Linked DNA regions of Rhinolophus ferrumequinum. The protein of the gene in region 1 purifies or fractionates together with the protein of each later gene. This does not show direct contact. Links are inferred from orthologs where the notes say so. Each region holds a gene or a part of one and is shown on either strand. Other genes may lie near its edges.

Evidence for each region.
Region 2: the proteins of MTA2 (region 1) and ZNF512B purify together in Homo sapiens (affinity purification with mass spectrometry; 3 studies listed by BioGRID and IntAct, with this or other methods). This does not show direct contact. The link is inferred for Rhinolophus ferrumequinum from reciprocal best matches to the Homo sapiens genes MTA2 and ZNF512B.

The regions. Positions count from the first base shown.
Region 1 is NC_046294.1:8,173,315-8,184,928, reverse strand, and holds the start of MTA2 (metastasis-associated protein MTA2), read right to left. Parts: upstream 5,957-11,614; 5' UTR 5,330-5,956; coding exon 5,302-5,329; intron 4,604-5,301; coding exon 4,536-4,603; intron 4,150-4,535; coding exon 4,056-4,149; intron 2,453-4,055; coding exon 2,335-2,452; intron 2,203-2,334; coding exon 2,139-2,202; intron 1,955-2,138; coding exon 1,837-1,954; intron 1,549-1,836; coding exon 1,446-1,548; intron 1,257-1,445; coding exon 1,157-1,256; intron 988-1,156; coding exon 799-987; intron 695-798; coding exon 620-694; intron 508-619; coding exon 449-507; intron 281-448; coding exon 183-280; intron 61-182; coding exon 1-60. Other genes in the region: EML3 (echinoderm microtubule-associated protein-like 3), read right to left, coding at 6,337-6,540, 6,630-6,760, 7,038-7,136, 7,703-7,790, 7,921-8,018, 8,090-8,178, 8,698-8,804, 9,214-9,345 and 7 more. UniProt on the Homo sapiens protein: May function as a transcriptional coregulator. Acts as a component of the histone deacetylase NuRD complex which participates in the remodeling of chromatin.
Region 2 is NC_046306.1:207,256-219,098, reverse strand, and holds the start of ZNF512B (zinc finger protein 512B), read right to left. Parts: upstream 4,633-11,843; 5' UTR 4,576-4,632; intron 3,124-4,575; exon of another isoform or gene 3,003-3,123; intron 2,700-3,002; 5' UTR 2,698-2,699; coding exon 2,574-2,697; intron 2,337-2,573; coding exon 2,194-2,336; intron 1,849-2,193; coding exon 1,720-1,848; intron 1,607-1,719; coding exon 984-1,606; intron 876-983; coding exon 649-875; intron 537-648; coding exon 465-536; intron 369-464; coding exon 222-368; intron 61-221; coding exon 1-60. Other genes in the region: SAMD10 (sterile alpha motif domain-containing protein 10), read right to left, coding at 8,370-8,392, 8,567-8,707, 9,150-9,321, 9,399-9,580, 11,352-11,843. UniProt on the Homo sapiens protein: Involved in transcriptional regulation by repressing gene expression. Associates with the nucleosome remodeling and histone deacetylase (NuRD) complex, which promotes transcriptional repression by histone deacetylation and nucleosome remodeling.

The DNA.
Region 1 (11,614 bases):
CACAGAGGCGGCACTGCATGTTGGGTGGGCCCCAGGCGTACCACTGGGCAGACTGTGTGGCTATAAGAGCACCGAGAGGAAGGGGAGGTCAGGGGAAAACATACCATTTGAGCCCCTCGGGTTCCCAGGCCAGAGCAGACTTCTCACCCACCCCCAACATCCCCGTCCTCCCTGGAACTCACTGTGGCAGCTCTCGCAAGTTAGCCCCTTCTGGAATCCAGCTCCATTCATGCCAGGTTTTGAGCCCACAGAGATGATCTGGTTAGGATTTGGTTTGGTGCTGAGAGGGGCAGGACGGAGAAGGAAAGAATTCAGGACAAAGAATCCATTTCCACTCCTCTCTAATAATTTGACCCTGTCTCCTGCCCACCCCTAATCACTGAGGAAAAAGCACACGTTGGAGAAAGAAAAGGAAAATATGCCAGGCTCTCCTACCCATCACACTTACTAGGTGGGGATGTAGACCTGTTTCAGTTTGCTGTCTGCTTCAGCAGCTTTCAATCTCTTCTGCAGGAAAGAAAGAGAAGGATCAGAGCATCTTAGCAGTAGGATGTCATCAACTTCAAAGGCAGAGGTGAGTAGGTGGCCTGTGGTCCAGCCTCCCCAGCCCAAACCATACCTGCTGAATATAGCGGTCTGTGGTTTTCCACATGTAATAAAACTGGACTATGCTCGCAAGTGACTTCCAGGGTAGCTAAGGGGGTCAGAGGGTAGAAGGATGAGCTAGCATCTGGCCCCAGGACCTGGTTCCCCGACCTGTCATCTCTTCTATCTCTCCTCCTAGCCCCATCCACTTACAAAGTCCTGGCGAATATCATTGAAGTCCTTCCCGTACTTCTCCAGGGCCTCCTCAAACAGCATGGCCTCCGAGGCAGACCATTCCTCCATCTCATCCCGACACAGCACTGGCCCCCCCTGGGGCACCAGCGTTGACATGGCCTTCGCCAGGTCATAGCCGTTTCTTTGTAATGTATCCATTGCGTGAAACTACAGGGAAAGTGGGAAACTGCTGATGACCTGAAACCCTCAGCACGCTCCCCTGCTTTTACTCTCTCAATGCACCCACTTGCTCAGACACACCCTCCTCTCCTTTCCCCAGGCTCTGCAGATCCCCACAAAGCCCAGCCTGCCCGACTTCCCACCAACTTCTGCTCACCAGGGTGATATCCCGGGAGGCAGCGGCTGCACTCATGTGCAGGCTTGGCTGCCGAATGGAACTGCTACAATCTAGGGCTCTCGCAAAGGTCCCCACCGCTCTAGGAGAAAAGTTAAGAAGTCAGGAGGGCAAGAGGAAAGCGCAAGTGGGCTAAGGGAATAAGCCTGATGAGAAAAAAAGAAAAACACCCAAGCCAACAACAAAAAAATAATGCCCACCTCTAAGAGCAGGACTCAGAATGATGTCCACACCTCCCCCAGCCCATCTTCCCCAACCACCCGCCCCTCACCGGGCCACCACGAGAAACTGATCAATCTGCCGGTCTGTGAGAGGGTTGTCTGGATCCCAGACTTTCATCTCCATCTTCTGCTGGTTCCGGTTATCAGATTCTCCTGGGGCGATGGCATCATGGGGAGAGGGAAAGGAGAATAACAGGTGTCTTGAAGTTCACAACAGCACCTTGGTCCTCATCTCCCGAGTGGACTCTATCAGCCACCTCAACTCTCAGGCTTCTCTTCCCAACTGTGCCCACTTGCCCCTTCCAGGTTCCTGAGGTCTCATTTTGTCAGGGTCACAGCACAGAGCCACGCAGACTGCACTGCACGACACCAGCGCACACGACTCACAGAGACTACGATGTCAGATAACCCAGGAGCCACACAGCCTGTGCCATTGCTTACCGTCTGCCAGGCGATCTGGGATCTCAGCTTGGTATTTGCAACCAACTCGGATCTCCCCCTGATCAGCTAGAAGTGTCTTCTGTACAGGGTCAAACACCAGTGAGTAAAAAAAGCAGTCCTGGAGACGGGAAGAGAGGAGGTAAGCAGGGCAGCAGTCCTCACAGGCATGGGGCAGTGGGGTACACCCCGAGTTCCCAAGACAGGCAGTCTGTCAACCTATACCTCATCGCACTCCTCCTTTCCTCTTGCCTTTGGGGGCAATGCCCACTCCCCTCCCTTTTCTCCCAATACCTCTTGCTCACCTCCTTTTCCAGGTACTGGCTCAAGATATCAGTCTCATTCAAGAGGGTCACACTGCATTTTCCCCTACAGGAGAGGGACCAGAAGACCTTGGGTGAGCTCCTCATGCCCTCTCCCCAGCATCCCCAGTACACTACCCCTCCTTTCCATCTTCTAAATAAGGGCCTGCTGGCCACAGTGGCCCCAATTGTCCCATACCGTATGTGGGTGGCTGGTAACGACTCAAACTGCCGAGAAAGGAAAAGCTCCCGGTGCTTCAGTTGATGTCGCTGCTGCTCCGACACCCCTGGCTGCTTTGATTCCTCTTCAAACTCCCCTGAGAGATTCAGGAGGAAGAAACCAAGTCAGAAACTAATCCAGAAAGAAGCCACCTCAGACACTCTAGCCCAAGGAGAATACTTCCTGTCTCAGCTGTTTCTCCCACTCTCCCCAGGCATCTGCCTTCCATCCCCTCACCCCCTCAGATTTCACGCTTAGCCCTCTGCCCCATCAGAGATGCTCCCAATTCTCCAGCACTAATGTTCTTAGGAAGAGCTGCTGAGAATATGAAGAATGCCACAGAAATCCATCCCAAACACAGGTGCCAATGCTCAGACACCATTCATAAAGCACAAATCTGCCCACACCAGGCCCAGCAAGAATATCACACTGGTCTCTTTCTTGCTAAACCAGCCTGAGATCCAGAAACTCAGTAAGATTAAAAAACACATCACACAAAGTTGTGTTTACCAGTTCCTCTTTTCAGAGCTCAGGAGACTCTTTGCTCTTAAACATCACAGGCAACCCTAACTATTCCTCACTTTCTACTTGGCTAATAATAGTTTGTGGGGCTTTCAAGGACAGCACCTCTCAAGCCAGTACCAATACCTTCCTCCCCAAGTAAGTGCAACTTGCCCTGAAACCTTGGTGGAAAGGGTTAACCTGGCTGGGCACCAACCAAAGTGGGAAGGGGCAAAAGAGCCACAGGCCCAGGCTCATTGGTGCATTGTTCCCAACCTCAGGGGGGGCGGGGTGGGGGGGGGAGGCCAGCAGGCTCCACCCCTCGCCTGTGTGCTCCGGAAACCCTGTGCTAAGAGGAGGGGACCACACCTCCCACACCCCCCCACACCCCTTCTGATTGGACAAGGCCAAGGTCAGCCCCTGCCAGATGGGCCTGGAAACCCCAAAGGGCCAGAGAACTTGGTAGGCCCGGCTCCTCCTTAACCCCTTCATGCCCACAACAGCCAGGAAGAAGGAAAATAATTTAGGAAGGAGGAAGAAGAAGGGGAAAGTCAAAGCAGGAAAGGAACAGGACACTAAAGAAAAGTGAAGGAGATATATTTTTTGAAAGAACGTGAAAGCATAAAGAGAAGGAAGACGACTACAGGAAAAGAGAAAGATATAAAATGGAGTAGAGGGGAAAACAGGAGAGGTGAGAAAGAGGAAGAAGTGCAAGAAAACTTTCCTCACTTCCTATTCTGTCCCGTCAATGTAGTCTCACCACCTGGTGATCACAATATAAGCCTGCTTCCCTGTTGTGCAGGCTTCTAAGTACAATCTCATCCTCTTCACCTTGACCTTCGGCCATGACCCATTGTCCCAACATACCCAAACTGTCCCCCAAGGGTCCTGCGTCTCTAAAGCTCCTCCTCATGCCCTATTTAAATACTATCATCTCTTTACCCACACCATTCACCTAGACACACTTACACACAAGACACATTCTGGCTCTCCTTATCATGGTCTCTTCGCGCTGCTTCCATCCAACGGTTAAAAACAGGCCTCCCTCCACAGAACAGGCATTTCCCACCCCCAAGCTCACACCCCTACCTAGGGCATGCAACCAGGAGAAACACCTGCAGGGACATGCCCAGGCCTCAGCTCACCGGGAAGGGGCGGAAGGGGAGCCGAGGGTAGGGTGGGGGTACAAAGACACTCACTGGCATTACTATCGGCCAGGCTGTTGAGGCTACCAGAAATATCCCTTCGCCGGAAAAGGCACACAACCTTTGCCTCCACATTTCCATTTGCAGTCTAGGGGGAGGGGGGAAAATGGCAGTGAAAACTGGTCATTTGAAAATAAAAATGCACAAAGAAGAGACTAACAACAATAAGTTTCTAAGGGATGTAGAAAACACCCAGAAATTAGGAATGAGACTTACATTTAAGCACAGACTTCCAAATCTCTTTCTTTAGCCCACAAGAGATAGAACACTAAAGTTCCCACTAAGCTCTAATAGCCAGCCTTTCCTGAATACATTGAATGAATGAATGAATGAATGAATGAATGAATGAATATGAATAGGTACTTAGGATAGGTTTCTCTCCCCACCCTCCCCCTCCACCTGAAGTTAGAGACCTAAGAAAAAAGAGATCACTTTGGGGAAGCGGGGTTGGCGGATGGATTCTGTTCCACTCACCTTGTTGAGCTCCTCAATCCGTCTAACCAGGTAAGGATTGCTGGAGGAGTTCTCAAAATAGACGTAATCTGTAGGAGGCGGTGAGGAATAACCGAAAAAATCAGGAGAAGACGGGAGAGCCAAAGTACTAGGGTAGGAGGAGACCAAAGCAGGCCTGGGAGGACCAAAAGTAGGTAAGGGTCCAGGTAGAGAGGACGCTGAAATGTGTAAGTGGAGAGACTAAGAGAAAACAAGGGATGCCCCTACCCCTGGCCACCTAGTTCTAAAGTCAGACCCTTCGTTCAAAAGCGAGCCTTCAGAAAGAACCAAGAAGCAGGGGGCTCCCCTGCAGTACCACCTCAGCGATGGGGTTGCACTCTAGGCTCAGGGAAGGGAGCAATTATTGTTCACTCTAGCGCAAGGCCCCCCCTCCTTTGTGAACCGAGGCGCACATAACGCCTGGGGAGAAGAAACCTCCCGGTGGCTCCCCCGCAAGAGGCAAAGCGGTCGCCCGGGCCCGTCGCGCCCCTTGCCTGCCTGTCAGCTCCTTTGGAACCACTTTCCCAAGCCCCGCTTCCCGACCCGGGGGACCCCAGACACAACCCTGAGAGTGCCGTCGGGGCTGCCCCCAGCCTCTCCGCGAGCCTCGGCGCCGGGTCGCGTCGCCGTCCCAGCACCCTCGCTCCCCGTGCCCCCGGTTCCGGTTCCGGTCCACTCTCGGAACCACGCCGCCGGGGGCCGAGGCGCTCTCGCCCAGGGCCCCGCAGCCCCCGCGCCCAGTACTCACCTCCCACCCGGTACATGTTGGCCGCCATGGCCGTTCCCGCCGCCGCCTCTGGCCGCACAAAGGGGTCCGGGAGGCTCGGGGGGGTAGGGCTCGGCTCGAGACGAAGCCCGGAGCGCGGGGCTGGCGCTTCGCGGAAGTCTCGGTCAAGCCCGCGCAGCCGGCACCTCCGCTGCCTCAGCCGTCGCGGTTCATCTCGGTCAGCGCTGTCGCCGCCGCTGCTACTGCCTCACACCGGGGACGCCGAGGCCGGCGCCGGTCCGCTCGGCTTCTTCCGGAACGAGCTCGGCTCCCGCCGGCCCAGAGCCAGGCTCCGGAGTCTCCCGCCCTCGCAGAGCCCCACCAGACTTCGGGCCCTGCCGGCCGCGGGGAAGGCTGACCCTGCCCGCCTCGGGGCTCGCCTCCTTCCGGAATACCTTCGGTCGACCGGGAGAACAAGGCCCGGCGCTCGACTCAGGTCGGAGAGCGAGACCCCACAGATCGGCCACTTCCGGAAGCAGTTCGGCTCCCTCCGGCCAACCGGGGCCCCGCGCTCGGTTATTTCCGTTGCAGCTCCGCCCCTCCTCCGACGCCGAGAAGAGTTGGGCTTAACTCTCTCCTCGCGGGAGCCATGCCGCTCCTCCTGCGGCCCCGAAAGACTCGCATGCCTGCGCTTCGCGGGCTTATTTGCAAGTGGCTTTGCCTGTCATTTGCATGAATGGTCTACGCTCCCTCACCCTTTCCGCGCTTCTCTTTTCCTTAATCCCCACCCCCACAGGGCCCCGGAGGCGCCCAGCCGCGCCCCACAAAAGGACTGGGAGGCGACTTTGCTTTTTGGTTTATTGCCCCTCAGCAGGCTGCGGGAATCAGGGTCCAGGCTGGGGCAGCCCGGCTCAGCCAGCGGGTCTATACAGTGTGTGCAGGGGTGCCGTTGTCCCCCTCCAGGGAAATGCGCGATCGGGAATGTCTCCAAGTCGAAGAAAGGGTCGGCTCCTGGTCCAGGGGTGTCGCGTGGGGCGGGGCCACGCCGCGGGACTGGTGGGCCCGGTCTGGCAGCGATCAGACGTCCAGAGAGGAGGCGGGGGACAGGGAGGGGGTTCGAGAGGGCGTAACAAGCGCCGGCCCCGCGCCCCCGGCGCCCAGCACTCGCCACTGAAAGATGCTGGCGTCTTTGCCACCCAGCGAGATGAGGTGCGAGTCGTCGTGAGTGAATCGAACGCTGGTCACGTGGCTGCCGTGGCCGCCGTACACAAGGCTTGGCGCCTGGGTTGGGGGAAAGGTCGAGTTGCGGGAGCTGCGCAGCCCCGGGCCCTGCTCGCCCGCCCAGCCCCAGAGGCCCCGGGAGGCCTCACCTTGGCGCGAGCGCACGGGTACTGGAAGAGGTGCACTTTGCAGAAGTCGTCAGCCACAGCCACCACGCGCTCGTTGTGGGAGCGGCACAGGGAGTTGATGTCGGTGCCATCCGAGCCGTCCGGCCACACGCCTAGCACAGTGGCTGGCCTCAGCCCGGCCTCCTCCCCGCCTCCACCCACAGCCCAGAGCTGTACCCTTTCTTGCGCTCCGGCGGCAGCGGCCACCCACCGGCTGCGTTCCTGGCAATCCTTCCCGAGGGAGGGCCCGAGGGGCCTCCTGGACTGGATCTGCCAGTATCATGATGCCCACCCCTCCACACACGCCCAGCATTCCGAGCCCGGGGCAGGCTCCACCTGTCCCCCCCCCATCCCTCCTGCAGGGTTCCACAACCCTGCGTCCCTGCTCACCGTAAACATGGAAGCCCAGCACGCAGGTGTAGGTGGCCCACTCCCGATCTCGGCTCTCATAGCGATTCCTCAGCAGCTTGCAGCCTCCAGCCACATCCCCTGGAGAGACGGAGCCCACTGTGCTCAGCCCTCACCCTGCCCTCGGTGGGGAAGATGCCATGCCGTGAAGGCCAGATTGGAAAGACTGGCTTGAGGCAGTGGCATGTGATCTACTCACCTTAGTAGCCCTCAGCCCAGGCAAAACCCAGCCCCGTTTGCTTCCTGAGTTCTCACGGAAGTTCTCCTAACAGCTTCTCATCAGTTATTCCTCCCTAGATAAGGCAATCCCTCCACACCTGCCCTGAGAAACTTTTTCAAAACAGCCTTTTCTCAGTGCATTTTTCAACTCCCTCAAATCCTTGTGGGAACAAGAAAAACATGGTGTAAAACAGTATGTGTGGCTTTTTTTCAAATCACAAAATTTTTCCTATATGTAAAATTCTGACTCCAATCCCATCTCCACCTCCCCATCTAAAAGCTCCTCTGCGTGGAGCTCCCTACATAGGCTTCTTCATCCCCTCCCTACCAGGAGGAACACACACACACACACACACACACACACACACACACACACACAGAACCCACCCCAATTACCTTCTCCCCGTGCCCATTCTATTGCCACTCACAGTAAAGGATCTCATAGTCCCCAGAATTGGACATGATGAAGTTCCCATCCTTGGACCAGTCAAGGTGAGTGATAAAGCTGGAGTGACCCTGGAGCAAAGGTTAAGAGGCTAAATATGGAGCTCCCATTTCCCATCCCCGGACCTCCCTTAATGCACTGGACCCTTTGAGGAGTTTACTTGCTATGGCAATGTCCCACCCTCCACCCCAGTTTCCTCACCACACAGCGGCCAAAGCGGCTGGACTTGGCACCATCACTGGAAACGCTATAGATGTAGATCATGTTGTCATGGGAACCGATGGCCAGGTACAACCCATCTACAAAGACAGTCACTCAGACAGGAAAGGGCCAGGGAACGGTCTGGGTCCGGGGTGGGGATGGCTCCCACCTGGGCTGTACCGGACCACTGAGAGCTGCTCATTGCCATCGGTGAAGTCAGACACGATCTCTCTGGTCTCTGTGTCCAAAACCAACCACCTGGAAGGGAGGGGAGCGGGAAGCAGGTGTGCTGGGCAGCATGGGGGCTGGCAAGTTGGAGAGACTCAGACACACCCCCAGAAAGGCTATGAGGTAGACAAAGAAGTAGGCACTGCATTGATATGCTGGGAAATGAGAAAAGGCGAAGGGCAGATAAAAGCTGAAGGGTTTCTGCTAAAGGAATACAGGGCTGGACTACAAGAGCCTTATGGAGTCCGTAAGCCTGTCACTTCCCTGTGTTAGTCTCCCCACGCCTCCCATCCCTGCTGCTTCTCTATCCTGAGCTGCCACCTCCTCCACTCCCCAGCTTGGAGGGGAGAGTGGTGGGGAAGGTGTGATGACAGATGACACAGGAGAGCAGGGGGGCCCAGGTTGCAGGAAGAAGCAGTGAGGAACAGGAAGGTGCAGTTGGGGCTCCTGAGCAGGTAGTGATGACTCTCCTTCACACCCCCTCCCATTACCAGAAACCCTCCCCATACCTCGTGCTTTCCCCTCCCAGGAGTCCTGACTCCCTCTCACCTCCCAGTGTTCAGTCCTACAGCCACAGCTGCCCCACTGGGGTGGAAGTCTGCACAGAGACCAGTCTCCTGCGAGAGGAGAGAAGGTGAATTCAAGAAGATGCCTTTCTGGGGAGGGAACCAAGACAGACACCTTGATAGGTGTCTTGGTAGGGTCAAAGCCTCCTCCTCCCAAGGAGGAGGCAGGAGGAGAGGGACGGTAGACCTGGGGTGGAGGCAGGATGTCACTGGAGCCTAAACGGCGGGTGATACTCAAACATTTAACAGCCAGAACTGAGGCCCCCAGCTAGGCCGGAGATGAACCGTCAGTTGCTGGATCAAGAGAAGGTCTGGGGCGTTGGGGCCCATTGGAGGCATCGGCATGGAAGAATGAACATTCTAGTAGCGTACAGCCATATACCAGTATCCACTGGCTGCCCCTGGGGAGCAGAATGGAAGGGGATATTGAGGAAAGAACCTCAAGCCACGGGAGTCATGGTGGATGTGGCACTGGGGGTCCAGGGACACAGGGCTCTACCTTGAGGTCAATACTCCAGGCCAGCGCGTGGCCCTCCCCATCCCACAGGCAGAGCTGCCGGTCATGGCCGCAAGTGAGGAAGCGGTTCTGGAAGGGATGTGTGCACAGTCCCCAGAGCTCGTCCGTGTGGCCCTGCAGCAGAACATATGCTGTCACCTCTGCCCCGCCCCAACAGCTCTTCCCGCCTCCTCCCTAAGCCTCTGGCTCCCCAACCTGGATCACAGGGGAGAATCCCTGGGCCAGATCTCCCCTCAGCAACGCGTTCTTCGTAGTTCCCACCAGCAGCTCAGAGCCCAGCCCCTCAGCAATGGCCCGCACAGCCCCAAAGTGTTCAGGAATCTAGAGTGGTGGCAGAAAGTCAGGGGCCCACTGGCCCTTCGTCATCCCCCTCCCTCCCTCAACCCAGTCCAGGCCTCACCTCAGTCTCCTGGAGGGCCACCAACCCAGGCCCCCACTGTACCAGCCGGCGGTCCCGCCCACCACCACTCAGCACGGTCCCATCCCGCCGGAGACACAGGGCGAAAATGGAACCTTCGTGAGCATGGGCCTGGGCCACAATCCCGTAAGTCTCTGTTGGCAAAGTCCTGGGTGGGTTAGGCTCTTGGGGTGCAGGGAAGTGGGGAACGGGAGCAGTCTAGTCTGTCATAATAAAGTAATAACTGCCAGCATCTGAGTGCCTACTGAATACCATCTCTGATCCCTGGCTATTATTCTCCCTAGTTTACAGACTGGACAACTGGGACTCAAAGAAGTGGGATAACTTCCTAAAGGAGAGACAGCTAGTGGCAACACTGGGATTTGAACACAGGATCTGGCTGACACCAAAACCTCCGCCCTTTACCCCTTGCCATGCTGCTCCCTACCCTTCTAGACTGGCCCCCCAGAGGGCTCTGCTGGGGTCCACAGAGAACTATCAACTCACAGCAAAAAAAAAAAAAAATGGGTAATCCTCTGTTCCCACAGACACTCTGGGGTACTAGACTTCCCAGATGCCACCCACAGCCACATACCTTTGGCCCCACCCCTGCCTGGGGTCTTGCAATCTGAGACGCTCCGCCCCCAGGTGAGAATGTTCCCCTCTGAGTCCCCAGTGAGAATGTCTCCATCCGGGAGGAACACAAAGCAAGGGATAAACTTGGGTTTCTTGTATTTCTAGGCGAGAGGCAAGCAGAGAGCAGAGGGAAGAGCAAAGACCAAAAGTCACGGGACAGTTGGGAGTTTGGTAGCATTAGGGTCCTCAGACCAATACTTCCATCTCCACTCTGCCCTCCCTGACCACCCTGCACACATCCACACCTCACCCCAAAGACACCCTGTTTCCGGGTGAGGGCCCCGTTCCCAGGAACCCCTGCTCCACCACTCCAGTTCCAGAAGTGGACATGGGATTTCCCGCTGGTGACAATGCAGCTGCTGTCACGAGGGCTGAAGCCAACAGCCAGGACGGAGTCATTTGTGCTCTGAAGGGAAGATACTAGATTCAGCCACCCCAAGCCCTGAGCACCCTCACTCTACTTGACTCTCTTCATGTGCATCCTGACAGCTGGTCTACAGAAGTCCAGAAACCCCTTCCTTCCAGACCCTCGTCCCCTAAGAGCACTACTCACAGTCCCTCCTGATGAGTCACCCCAGTGCCTCACACATTGCCTCCTGTGAGGTAAGAACTTCCGTAGTCCCCATTTCAGCCTCGGAGAAGCTGGGAGGCTGGTCCGAGGTGACCCAGCCAGAAAGGAAGTAAATGTGTGGCTAAGTCTGCACTCTCTGCATCCCAGTACTCCCACCTCTCCACCCTTGGTGCCCTGCAGGCCTCCTGGAGTCCTCACCTTAATCTCCGCCAGCTTGGTGCCCCGGCTGCAGTCCCACACAGACAGCATGTGTTCATTTGAATCATCCACCACACAAAGAAAAGCACCCTGATCCTAAGGACGGGGACACATATCGCAAGAGCTGAGTGTGGTCTAGAGGTCTAGGGATTCAAGGTCATTAGGCAAGGGGCGCCATCAGAGGTTGGGAGGGCAGGAGAAGTGGACACATGTCCCTTTCTCAGGAGAACTGGCTGGGCACGGATCAGGAAGGCCAGAACTTCTGAAGCTTCCCAATGAAGTGCAAGAAGGGGGTTCTCAGACAAGGAAGATGGGGGTCTACAGGCTTTGGGGCCAGCTTACCGCAACTGAAAAGGCCAGGGCCCCCACACCCCGCTCGAAGGCCCCCAGTCCAATCTCCTGCAGCTTCAGCAGCGTCTCTGAGTCCCAGACGTGAACCACAGGCTGCAGAGGCTGGAGTGGGAGGAGGAGGGGTCAGGGGCACGAAGGGAAGCTGGGCTGGAATTTCACCCTGTCCACCTGGGTTTGATTTTGGCCTTACCTTTCCATCCTTATCCACTCCAGCCGTCTGTCCTGAGGCT
Region 2 (11,843 bases), on another chromosome or scaffold:
TGGGGCAGACGGCCTGTCCCCGTTCATGGATGGCCCTCTGCCACTGCTCCTCAGGGCCACCTGGGGGACAGGGCCAGGGCCTCAGGGGCTGGTGGGGGCTCCCGGCACCCTGGACGCCAAGTGCAGGACCCAGGGTCCATGGCCAACCCCCCATCCGTGTGCTACAGGGCGTGCCCCACAGTTGAGACCTGGCCTGGGCCCCAGCACACAGCAGCCCCCACCTGGGACCGGGTGGGCCACAGGGGCCGGGACCTCCTTGATGACGGTGCTGGCAGGGGCCGGCACCTTCTTCCGGACGTCCTCGGCGCTTGGGCCCTCCTGCTTCTTGGTGCGGTAGCCGCGGGATTTGTCTTCAGCCTTGGCCAGGCCTGTGAGCAAACGTGAGGAGGTGCAGGTGTGGGCCCAGGGCACAGGCACCCTGCACCAGCCCAACCCCACAGGCGCCCGGCTGGCAGGGGCCTCACCTTTGAGTCCAAAGGTTCCTGAAATAGATGGCTGTTCCCCTGTAAACTTCTTGGGTGTTTTCTGTTTCCTTCCTGACTCGGGGGAGAGAAAATGGGGACCGAGATTCTGGTCAAATAACCATCAGGAGGCTGGCCGCTGCCCACCCCCCCAGCCATCTGCCCCCCCCCCCCGCTCTCCTCTTACTGTGCTTTGTACGCTCCGCTCCCTCCGCAGGTGGGGACACAGGGCCTGTTGCCCTCAGCGCCTCCTTGCCCCCCAAAGGCCTGTTGCCCAGAGAAAGGGGGCCACTGCTGGAGCCTGCGCTCAGCTGGAAGGCCGAGCTCTGGCCCATGGTGGACGGCCCATACTCCCCGTTCTCTGGCCTCGCCTGCTTGGGTGGGATGGGGCAGGTGTCCAGGCTGTCTGCAGCCCTGCAGGGAGCAGGGAGGTGAGGGGCAGGAAGGCGCACTCGGAGCCCTGTGACCCCAGGCTGCAGCTGGGGAGCACCCGAACCCCGAGCCGGGAAGGAGCCCCCGTACCTTTTCTTACCACTGCCCCTCCCCGCGGCTCGAGGAGTTTTGTTCTCAGACTTGGTCAGCAGCACCATTTTGCAGGACGGTGTGTGTCTGCTGATGGCTATGGGTCTGCTGACGGTCACCAGCTTGCTGACCACAATGGGCCTGCTGACCGGCACTGACTTGGTGACCGGCACAGGTTTGGTAACTGTCACAAGTTTTGTCATCGGCACCGGTTTGTTTGCAGTCACCGGTTTGGTGACTGGCACCAGCTTGCTGACTGTCACTGGCTTGGTGGTCGGCACAGACTTGGTGACCGGTATGGGTTTGGTGACCGGCACGGGCCTGCTGACCGACACTGGCTTGGTGACCGGCACCGGCCTGCTGACCGTCACTGGCTTGCTGATGCCAATGGGTTTGCTGACACCCACGGGTTTGCCAATAGTGACAGGTTTGCTCACTCCGATGGGCTTGCTGACTCCAACGGGCCGGCTGATGGTGACTGGCCGGCTGACCGGCCCAGGCTTCGGGGCGGGCAGGGGCCGATCCATGTGGTTCCAAATCTGATGCTTCTCCAGCTGGGTCTTGGAGGTGAAGGCGGCCTCACAGAAGGGGCATGGAAAGGTCAGCCTTTCTGAGATAGCACCCTGGGAGGAGAGGGCAGGCATGGGGTGGGTCGCCCGGGCCGCTGCCCGGACACACCCCAGCAGCTAGGCAGCACAGGCTCAGGCCTCGTGTTCCCCGACCCACAGCCCCTTACCCCTCGGCACCGCTGGTAATGGTACTTGAGCCCGTAGATGCTGGGAAACTCCAGCCAGCACCCCGAGTTTGGACACTTCACCCTTGAGTGCGCCTTGAACTCGTCTTTCCACTGGTTCATCAGGGAGAGCTGGGCGTGGGAAAGGCCGGGCTGCTGACCCCTCAGCCGCGCAAGCCTCTGCCAACCCGAGCCCCGGACTCAGCACCCTGCTCAGGCCTGTGGGGCAGACGGGCTACAGGAGCCCTGGGACCTCGGGAATGCACCCCAAGCAGCAAGGGAGCACTAGACCTGTTCTAGAGGCCTCACGGACGTGGTCAGCTAGGCCCAGGCCACACACGAAGGCCTGAAGCACAGACTGGCCTGCTGACATGGGCCGAGGGCATGCTGCTGGACGTGTGGAAGGCAAGTAGAGGCAGGGCAGTGGCCTCAACAGGCCGACCCCACCTGTGCCCACCCTGCCCTCAGGCAGCTCACGGGAATGTCACGGAGGGCCTGGTTCTCAGCTTTCGGACGCCCCTTTTTCTTTCCTTCCGTCCTGTCGCTGGCTGGACTTTCCGGGTCAAAGCAGAGTGGGGCCTGGCTGGGCACTATCTGCCCACCCCGGGCCACCGACAGCCCTGCAGGACACGACACAGAAGGCTGGTCAGACCTGGAGTGAGCCTTGCTACCCCCACCACAAAGGCACGAGGGCAAAAGGCCGCAGGACAAGAATCCAGGCCCCTGCCCTGGGAAGGCTCTCAGGAGCCCAGGTGGCCCACCTGGCACCCAGGAGCGGGACATCTGGGGAGGTGGCCCACACCCAGCACTAGCTGACCGTGACAGCTTAGAGTTGACCTTGGCCTGAGCCCTCTTACCCAGCTTCGGTGGGTCGTGCCGCACAGGAAGTCGGACCTCATTCCGGCTGCCCTCTTTCCCAGTCCCACTCTTGCTGGACCCCGGGAGCCGGCGGCCGCCTCCCACACCGAAGGGATCGGTCATCGCTGCAGAGCAAGTGGACAGACCTGTGAGGCCCCCCAGGGCCCACTCGGGACTTGAAATGGCTGCCCTTGTACCCCACTCCCAGACAGGCCTGCTCTCTGGCCACGGGCAGGAGGGACTTGTCTGCTGTGCTCTTGGTCACAGGGAAGTCAGGTGACAGGGGGCTTCTGGTTTAGAAGGGCCAGATGACCCTGGAGACACCATCAGCTTGGAAGGATCCAACCCTGTCCTGAGACCCTCACCAGGTCCGATGAGCTCCCTCCCTCCCTAGACACAGAGTCCCAGATGTGCCGTGAATCACACACCTCACACCTGGAGCTGGGCTGGGGGCCCCAGGAGAGGGGGAGTGCTCGGGCGGAAGGATCCCTCCTGGGGGCCAGTTACGACACCAGTATGGCTGTGGGCCGGGCACCTCGGGACAGCTTCCTGCACAGACGCAAGGCAATGCCACACTACCGAGGCGGGTGGCCCTGGATCCTCCTCCCCAGGACATACATGGAAGATAGCCAATGTGGGTGCTAAGGGCTCCTGCCCACTCCCCAAAGGCATGCACCCCCGGGCGGGGGGCAGACCAAGCACTGTGGACTGTGTGGCACCTGGGTCTGGTCCTCATGGCAGTGCAGCCATCCTACCTGACTTTTCTTGGCCTGTACCAGCCAGGGCCCCTCCGCCCAGATGGAGGCCTCGTGCTGGGCCTCTCGGCCGCCCTCCACCTGACTGGCCTCCGTACCTCCAACTCCCAGAACCTCTCTGTTCCCCACCGACAGGCCCACCAGCACCACTCCTGAGACCACTGTCCACTGGCCACCAGCCACAGGGAACATCCACTACCTGAGGCTGGACCTCCATGGACCGGAGAGCTGGAGGGACTCTGTTGGGTCCTCCCACAGGGACACGGAAGCCACAGAGAGTGGGGGTTGGGGGTGCAGATTGTGTGGGCAGGTGACCCCGCTCCTGGAAGTTTCTAACTAACTTAGATCAGAGGATGGAAAGGGGCTGCTCTCCCTAAGAGGGTACAGAAACTATCTGGGCAGCAGGAGGTCAGAGGTCAAGACCGTCACTGCCCATTGCCCTGCTGGGCCCATAGCCTGGGCCTGGAGGGAGGTATGTCTGGGTCTAGATAGGTCTGTACTAACTTCTGTGGACGTCCTCACATTGCAACTTCCAAAGGAGATGAGCCACCGTCAGTCAGTCACCCCAGACCCATGATGACCCCAGCAGCCTGGGGTGCGAGTACCTGCTGGGACCCCACTTTCCAGTCTTTCTCCAGCTTCGGTGGAGATTTCAGAGTTGGGGGGCCTGGGGCCAGGGCTGGCTTAGGAAGCAGAGACCCTCCTTCCATCCAGGGCCTATGAGTCTGGCACCAGGAGAAAGGGCTTCCGCCCTCCTGGAGGGCCCAGCAGAGACGAAGAAGTGGGACCCTCACGGAGGTAGGGGGCGCCGCGCGCTGACCGCAGGCGACGCTGGCAGCAGGACCACCGCCAAGGCCGCAGGGCCCTGGACCCGGGCTCAGGCCCGGGAGCGCAGAGGAAGCCAGCCAGACGATGCACACCTGGAGGCTGGCCTCACCACCCACCTGTCACCTGCGGCCGGGGTGCGGGCCGGGCCTGGCCCCGGAAGGGCCGATCGCGGGCGCCTGGGGAAGGGGGGGCGAAGGCAGTGAACCAAAATGGCGACTTTTTCTGGAGAAGGAGGAGGCAGGAACCCGGCGCCCGCGCCGGGCGCGGGGCGCGGCGCAGGGGGTCCAGACGCGGCGGGGGACGGCGGGCGGGGGCTCCCGCGCGGTGCCCCCGACCTGCGTACGGGGTCAGGGTCGGGGGCGCGGCCAGCGCAGGGGCTGCTCCGGGGTCGAAGCCGGGGTCGCGGCCGGGCGCTTACCTGCGGCGCCCAGCGGGACGGCGGCGGGGCGGGGGCCGGGGCCCGGCCGGGGCCGGACAGGGGCGCGGGGCGCAGGGTCCGGGCGGCGCAGGCTGCGCGCCGCGCTGCGCACATGCGCGCTCCCGCCCCTCCCACCTTTGACAGTTTTACTGTGGGGGGGGAGGGGAGGGGGCGAACTCTCGCGGTATTCCTGCGGCCGCTCCGCTACGGGGAGGGACGGGTCGGGGGGAGGGGGCCCGTCGGGCTAGCTGGCTTTCTGTACCCTCGGGTCCATCACATGCATCCGCCAGGCCTCCAGTGCAGTGACCAGTTATGTGGCCCATAGGGCGGGAGGCCTTTTTCAGGCAGTTGGGTAAACTGAGGCACCATAGGGGCGCAGCGTACTGCCCCAAACCCAGCGCGCTCTGGTTGAAGTTGCCGGACTCCTCTACGCCCTGGCCCTGGGAAGGTGTGGCCATCGCCCTCCCAGACCCTGAACCCCTGACCCCTGGGGGTCTTCTGCCTGAAAAGCAGAGTCCGGCTTCTTTTCCAGCTACCCTTGTGACACCTCTGCCTGTGGCCATCCTCTGAGGCTCGCTGGCAGGCCTTTATTGGGGTTACCATCTTTGGAGCAGCCTGTCAGCTTTGGTGGTGGGGGGGGTGTTCCTAGACCGGTGGCTAGTGTGTGGCTCCTCTTTGCCCCAGAACCTGGTCTTCTGCAAGGACACTGGTATCAGGTCTGAGGTGATGGGTACCGACCCCACCAGGACTTGGGAGTGAATGAACCAGGAAGGGGTGGCAGTGGGGAAGCAGAGTTACAGGCTGCACCTCAGTCCCTGGGGCCCTTCCCACCGCTGTCCTTACACTGCACCCGCCTGCACTCCAACCCCTCTGGTCACATAGGAGCAGGCTCGGGTTGCACTGCTGGTGCGCAGGGCACAAAAGATGTGGCAAACTTGGGGTCTGCCTCTTCTCACAGGGACCCTTGGGATCCACTCTCGATGCCAGCACAAAGTGCTCACACAGAGGCAAGGTGGAGTCCCTTTGTGGAGGGGTCAGTCGGTCAGTCCTTCTCTTGGAAATCAGAGCCAGAGAGAGGTCTGTGTGACACCAGGAGGAAGAAGGAATGTCCCTCTGTTGTTGACTGGGCCCACCCTGGGGATAGGACACTCAGGATTTCAGGAGGGGTCAGTGTGTGTGCCCTGAGGTGCATCCAGTTTTGTCAGCATTCCCCATTTAAGTCTGCATGTCTGTGTGTGTGCCATGTCAATGTCGGTGGGTATGTGTCCGAGTGACCATGTAGGTCAGGTGGCATCCTGTTTGAACATCAGTGTCACGGTATGTCTGTATCCTGTACTGACAAGATGCCTGTCTGTATGTCAGTACCCAGGTGACTGGACATAGGGCGTGGGGGTGTGTCTGGTACTCACAGACGTGTCCCGGCTGCGGCATGTCTGGAGATCAGGGTATCATGCAATATCATGTGTTTGTATACAGGGTGTGCAATGCCCCAGGTGTTTTTGTATGTTAAGCGGTCATTGTGTGTCTGGGACGCTGTGTTGGGGTGTGTTGTTGTGGGTCTGGATACTGGTTTCATTGTCTCAGAGTGTTGGTATCTGTGTTCAGACTGCAGTGGTTGGTTTATGCCTCTGTTACTATCTGTGTGTCTGGCTGCTGCCTGGGTACATGTCAGGGCACATGCTATGTCCTGTATATTCCTATGTCAGGGCACTGCCCTGTGGGGGACTCCAATGGGAGTCCCCCAAAAGGCATCCGCATCAAATCCCTGGAACCTATGAATGACCTTATTTGGAAAAAGGGTCTTTACAGATGTGATTGAGTTAAGGACCTGGAAATGAGATCGTCCTGGATTATCCGGGTGGTGCCTAAATCCAGTGATAAGTGTCTTTATAAAAGGGAGATTTGGGAGGTCAGAGGTGATGTGACCACATGGTCCAGGTGCAGTGACGTGTCTGTGAACCCAGGAATTTCCAGGCAGCCACCAGAGTTGGGAGAGCAAAGGAAAGATCTCTCCCCTGAGCCCGGAGGAGCAGGCCCTGCTGCGTTTCAGACGTGGCCTGCAGAACTGTGAGAGAAGGAGTTTGTTGTGTTAGCCTCTCGGTTGTCATCATTTGTTATGGCAGACCCAGGAACCTATCACACCTGTGTGCCTCTGAGTGCAGTCCACCGGCCTGAGCCCAGTTCCAGCCTCTGCCTTCAGTTCCCCCACGCCTGGCATAAAGAGGCACCCTGCCAGGATGTGACATCACTGCCCCCTGGTGGTCAGGGCTGGAGGCAGCTGGGCTGGGAACCCCCTCATCCCAGACCCAGGGCGGTGCCCATCCTCACACTCCAGATGACTTCAGCTGGACACCACACTGGGGCACTTGAGAACCAGGTTTATTTCTGGTCTTTTTATCAGAATATAAAAAGTGAACACAAAACAAAGAAGACAGGACAGGAGCTTGGGGATGGGGGTTAGGGAAGCAAGACAAAGGAAGAAGGGGGGCAGAGATGGGAAGGGCCCTCTGGAAAGGGCGCCATTGTGATGGCACCAGGTGGACAGGGACACTCAGGGCAGCTAGACAGGACAAGGGGACTTCCCATGGGGGGACATACAGGATGGGAGGGGCACCAGGCCAATTGTCCAAATTCCACCCGTGACATGCACCAACCAACCTCCTCTCTGGCAGCCAGCACAGGGAACAGAGGGGGCGGGGTGCTCAGCCTTGTCTGCACCCCCCAACTGAGGTTTTCAGAGCCCCTCAGGGGAGTGGGAGGGCAGAGGAACAAGAGGGACGAGGCAGCAGGACAGCCCTCACTGTCCCCTCTGCTGGGCAGCACCAGCCCCAAACCTCAGCCCTTGGGGCCAGGAGAGAGTGGTTATTCAGGTGCCTACTGGGTCTCTGGTGGGGGGGGCCGGCATAGCCCTCAGGACAGTCTCTTTGTGATGTGGATTTCCCTGGGAATACCCGCCCATTCCTCTGCCTCCATAGTAGAGAGAGGGTAACTTACCTCTCTCCAGAGAGGTAAAGTTACCCTGAGAGGAGGGTAACGTTCCCAAACCTCAGGCTAGGACACTGCTGAGCCCAGTGCTGGGCGCCAGGTGTGGGGTCCCTATCGTGCCATGTTAGTTCTCGGGCGCTTGGGCAATCCCGGACCTGCCTCACCTCGGTTGCAGTGACTAGATGGGGGCATGGTGGCGGGGAGGATGCCTGGCCAGATGGACGCTGTTGGCCATCATCTGGGCAGTGGGTTCAGCCTGTTTGGCGGGGTCAGGGGCTGGGCACAGGGAGCCTTGGCAGTTTATCCCACCTCTGTGGGCACTTCTCTAGGAGCTGGAGGAGGGTGTTGAACTGGACAAGTGGGTAGACAGACAGATCTCTCACCCTGGGAGAGGGCAGGATGCCCCAAGGAAACGTGACTCAGCCAGCAATGGGGGACAGACGTCAACATGGGTGAAGGGAATATAAATAATCACTCCTTGGGAGTTTGGGGACCATCCAAACCCCACTCTGGCCCCAGGTGGCTGCCCCACATGCTGCCAGCAGCACCAGGGGTGGGCCTCGGTTCAGGTCCTGGGAGAAGGGGCCACACTCAAGCAGCCTCCACGCACCCGACCCTAGGCATAGCCCAGAGTGCACAACCACAGGTGGCTGGACGGGCAAATCTGGTCACACCAGTCCATTGGGCCCGGCTCGGCCCCTGGGGATGCCTGCAGGGTCCAAGAGGGGCAGCATGGCCAGCTCTGCCTCGTCCTTGCCATGGGCTCCGGTCACAGTGCTGGGGTCTGGGGTTCAGGCCTCAGGCAGCAGCTAGGACATGTTTCCGAAGGAAGCTATGGGTGGATGGGGTGAGGAGTGGGGGTCTCTGGCATCGTCCCCTCTGCCATGGGCTCAGGATGGCCCTTACTGGGGTCCCACACCAGAGTCCCGCCACCCACCCTACACTCAGGCCTCCAGCCCCGCCCCCCTCCCCGGCCTCTACGGCACTCCTGGCTCCTCCCACTGACCTTGGCTGAGCAGCTGCAGGCTCCGCCCCTCTTCGCGCACCTGCAGGCGCAGCACCTGCTGCAGTACCTCCTGCCGCTGCGCCTCCTGCGCCAGCCCCATGCGCTGCAGCTTCTCTGCGTTCAGCCGCAACAGCGCCCGGCCTGGGGGCAGGGAGAGGGGCGGGGCCGAAGTCAACTTCCGGTGGGCAATCGGAGCCAAGGCGGGGGGGGGGGGGGGGAGGAGGGGGCCGGGACTCAGAAACAGAGAGGGAGACTGAGGAAATGTGGGGAGGGACACGGAGACACATAGATGCAGAAAGACGGGGTGGGGGGGCGGGAGGGGGATGGGGGGAAGGGGAGGAAGAAAGAGAGGAAATGGGCAGGGAGACAGACACACAGATGCGGAGAGAAAGGCAGGGAGAGGCAGAGGAAAGCCAGATGAAGACACAGAGAGGCTGGGAAACACAGTGGCAGGTTCCGCAGAGACAAAGACCGGAGGAGAGGCTGACTCAGGAGGAAACAGGAGAGGGTAGGAAGAGGAGAAAGGACAGGCTCGCCTGGGATCCCCGTGCCCCCAGCCCCATAGCCCCCAGCCCCACAGCACCGGTGATGGCGTGCTGGGAGAAGGCCTCCACGTAGACGAGGTAGTTGTGGGGACAGTGCTTCTTGAGCCACTTGCAGACGTCCTGCTGACTCCACAGGACCACAGGCCTCGTCAGGCCACCCAGTGAGGGACTCGTGTGGTACAGGCCACAGTGGTCAGAGTACAGCCAGCCCTGTGAGGGAGAGGGGTAGCAGATAGAATGAGGTGGTGGGGATGGCCGGGGCTGAGATGGGTACGGTGGCTGGGTACCTGGGGGGTCTCTGTGCCAGGCTGCTGCAGGAGCTTGACTGGCCGGCCACCTGCTGCCCTCTGACTGCGTGAGTCATGCCATGTGAGGCTGGTGCCTGGTGTCCTAGGCAGGTGGCAGGGGATGCTCTCGGTGGACACCGTGTGCTCCAGGAGGGTCCGGCAGAAGCTGAAGTGGGCAGTGGCTGCAGAGGAGGGGTGCCTGGTCAGAGTGGTCAGGGGCCCAGCCAGAGGCTCCCCTCGTCACTCAGCCCATCTCCCCTCCACTGAAGAAGGAGCCACTTTCCCAAAGGCAGAAGGAAGCATCGAGAGCTGTCTTGAGGGCCCCACCCAGCCCAAAGCTGAAGAACTGGAACACCTGTACCCTCCAAGTCCACAGTACATGTTCTGGGGAGCCAAATGGATTCTTAGAGAGAGCGGACGCCCACCGGGAAGCCTAAGACTTACAGCCAGGGGTAGGGCTCTTCTGGGACAGCCCTCACCTCATGCTTGCCTTGGGCTGGCACATGCCACACCTAACGAGGGTGCACACACAGGCCCTTCCTACGAGGAAACATTGGACCGGTGTCCTGGGAGGCCCGTGAGGACCGGTGTCCTGGGAGGTATGGTGAGGAGACCCCCTGGGTGCACTGCGGGCCCATCGCCACGGATTGTGCCATCTCTGCAGACATCCCTGCCACGTGAGGTTTGGCCCTGCCCAGCTGTGCTCACTGGTTGTGACTCATGGACAAGAAGCCTAAACTCTGGGCAAGCCAGGACCTGGGATTCCTGCTCCCCCACCTCCCACAGGGTCGCCAACCCAGGGTGACTGCTGTGCATGGTGGGTCTGCAGCCGCCATGGGCCGCTCAGCACAGGCCCATAGGCTGCAGCCATGTGCTCAGGGACCCCTAGTGACACCTGGAGCTCTCTTCCCGTACCAACTTCATTACACTCGTCAACACTTTGGTTTTATCATCATTTCTGGGCTGGCTGCTGACCTGAGTGGGGGAGGAGCAGTCGCCTGTTCACTGCCCCTCCCAAGACCTTGCACAGGTCCTGGTGCAAAGGAGGTGCCCAGAAGTGTTGTGATGAATGAACGGATGGACGAAGGTTCTGTGTGATGTGCATCTTTACAGCATCCAGGTCCTCACTCAGCAGGGAGACCTTCCTTCCCACGGACACAGCCCCCCACCCCTCGGGCAGGATTTGGCCCTGTGCCTAGGTCTCAGTAATGGGGGAAACCCACATCTTGCTCCCCTCCTTCCACCCCATTCCTGCAACTTTCCACTACCAAATAACCACAGGTGCCTGTAAATTTGAGGTCTAGGGTCAGACTGAGAGTGTGGACGATGCCTCGAGGTGGCTTCTAGTACCGTGGGAAAAGAATTAAAGCCGAGACCTTTCAGGGGACAGGCCCTGGGTCGCATCGCCTTGCCTCGCCTCGCCAGGGCCCGGCCTGGGTAAACCAGTCGGACACCTCCGTGGGCGTCTCACCTGTCCCGGGTCAACGGGACCCGCCCATTTCCTGCCCGCGCTGGGGGGAGGGATCTCTGTGGGTACATCCGTCCTTCCCTCCCTCCCTCCCAGCCCCAACGTCATAATTCCCGTAGAAAATGGGGTGGGGGCGCACGATCCCGGCTGTGGCCCCAGCCCCTTCTTCGCTCCAACGCAAAGGCTGGGAGGGTTTTCTCCGCGCGCGGAAAAAAAAGGTGACCGCACGGTAGTGCGGGCCTGGGGACAGAAGCCCCGGCCGGTGACCTCCCCCAAGCCAAGGGTGCGCTGATCCCCAAGGCCTAAGGCCGCCCCACCTCGCCCCCAGCGCAGCACAAAGACACAAGAGACCCCAGATCCGTCAGGACGCGCCCCCCTCTCTGTCCACTGCCGCCGCTCAAGTCCGCCAGGTCCCGCCCCCGTCCCTCTCGGTTCCCAAGCCCCCAGCCCACGATATCCCTGCGCCCGGATTCAGCCCGGCTCACCGTCCACATCCCGGCGCTCCCCGAAGCCGGCGCGCACAGCCCCGGCGCGGCCTCGCGGGGGGCTCAGCTTGGTCCTCAGCTCCGTGAACATGGGGCCCGCGGGGCCCGGGCCCGTGCACACGCCCCTCGCCGGGCGCAGGGCGGCCCGAGTGGCCGGCGGGGAACGCGCGCCACCGCCCCGCCCCAGCCGGCCCCGCGCCGGAGCCGGTCCCCGCGCCCGGCGAGTCTGCGCGGCGAGGCACCTGCCGCTGAGCCCTGAGAGCTGGGCGCGCTCCGGGAGCTCCGAGGTGTGTCGGCGGCGCGCGGGTCTGCGTATGCAGAGTGTCTGCCAGGGCAAGGGGCGTCCCTGCGCACCTGGGCATGGCTCCAAGGACGAGTGACTGGGCACCTTTAGGGGTCCAGGCGTCTGCAGGGCCCTCTGAAGCAGGGAAGTAAGGACACATTCCGCGTGTGTGTGTGTGTGTGTGTGTGTGTGTGTGGTGGAGGGCCTCC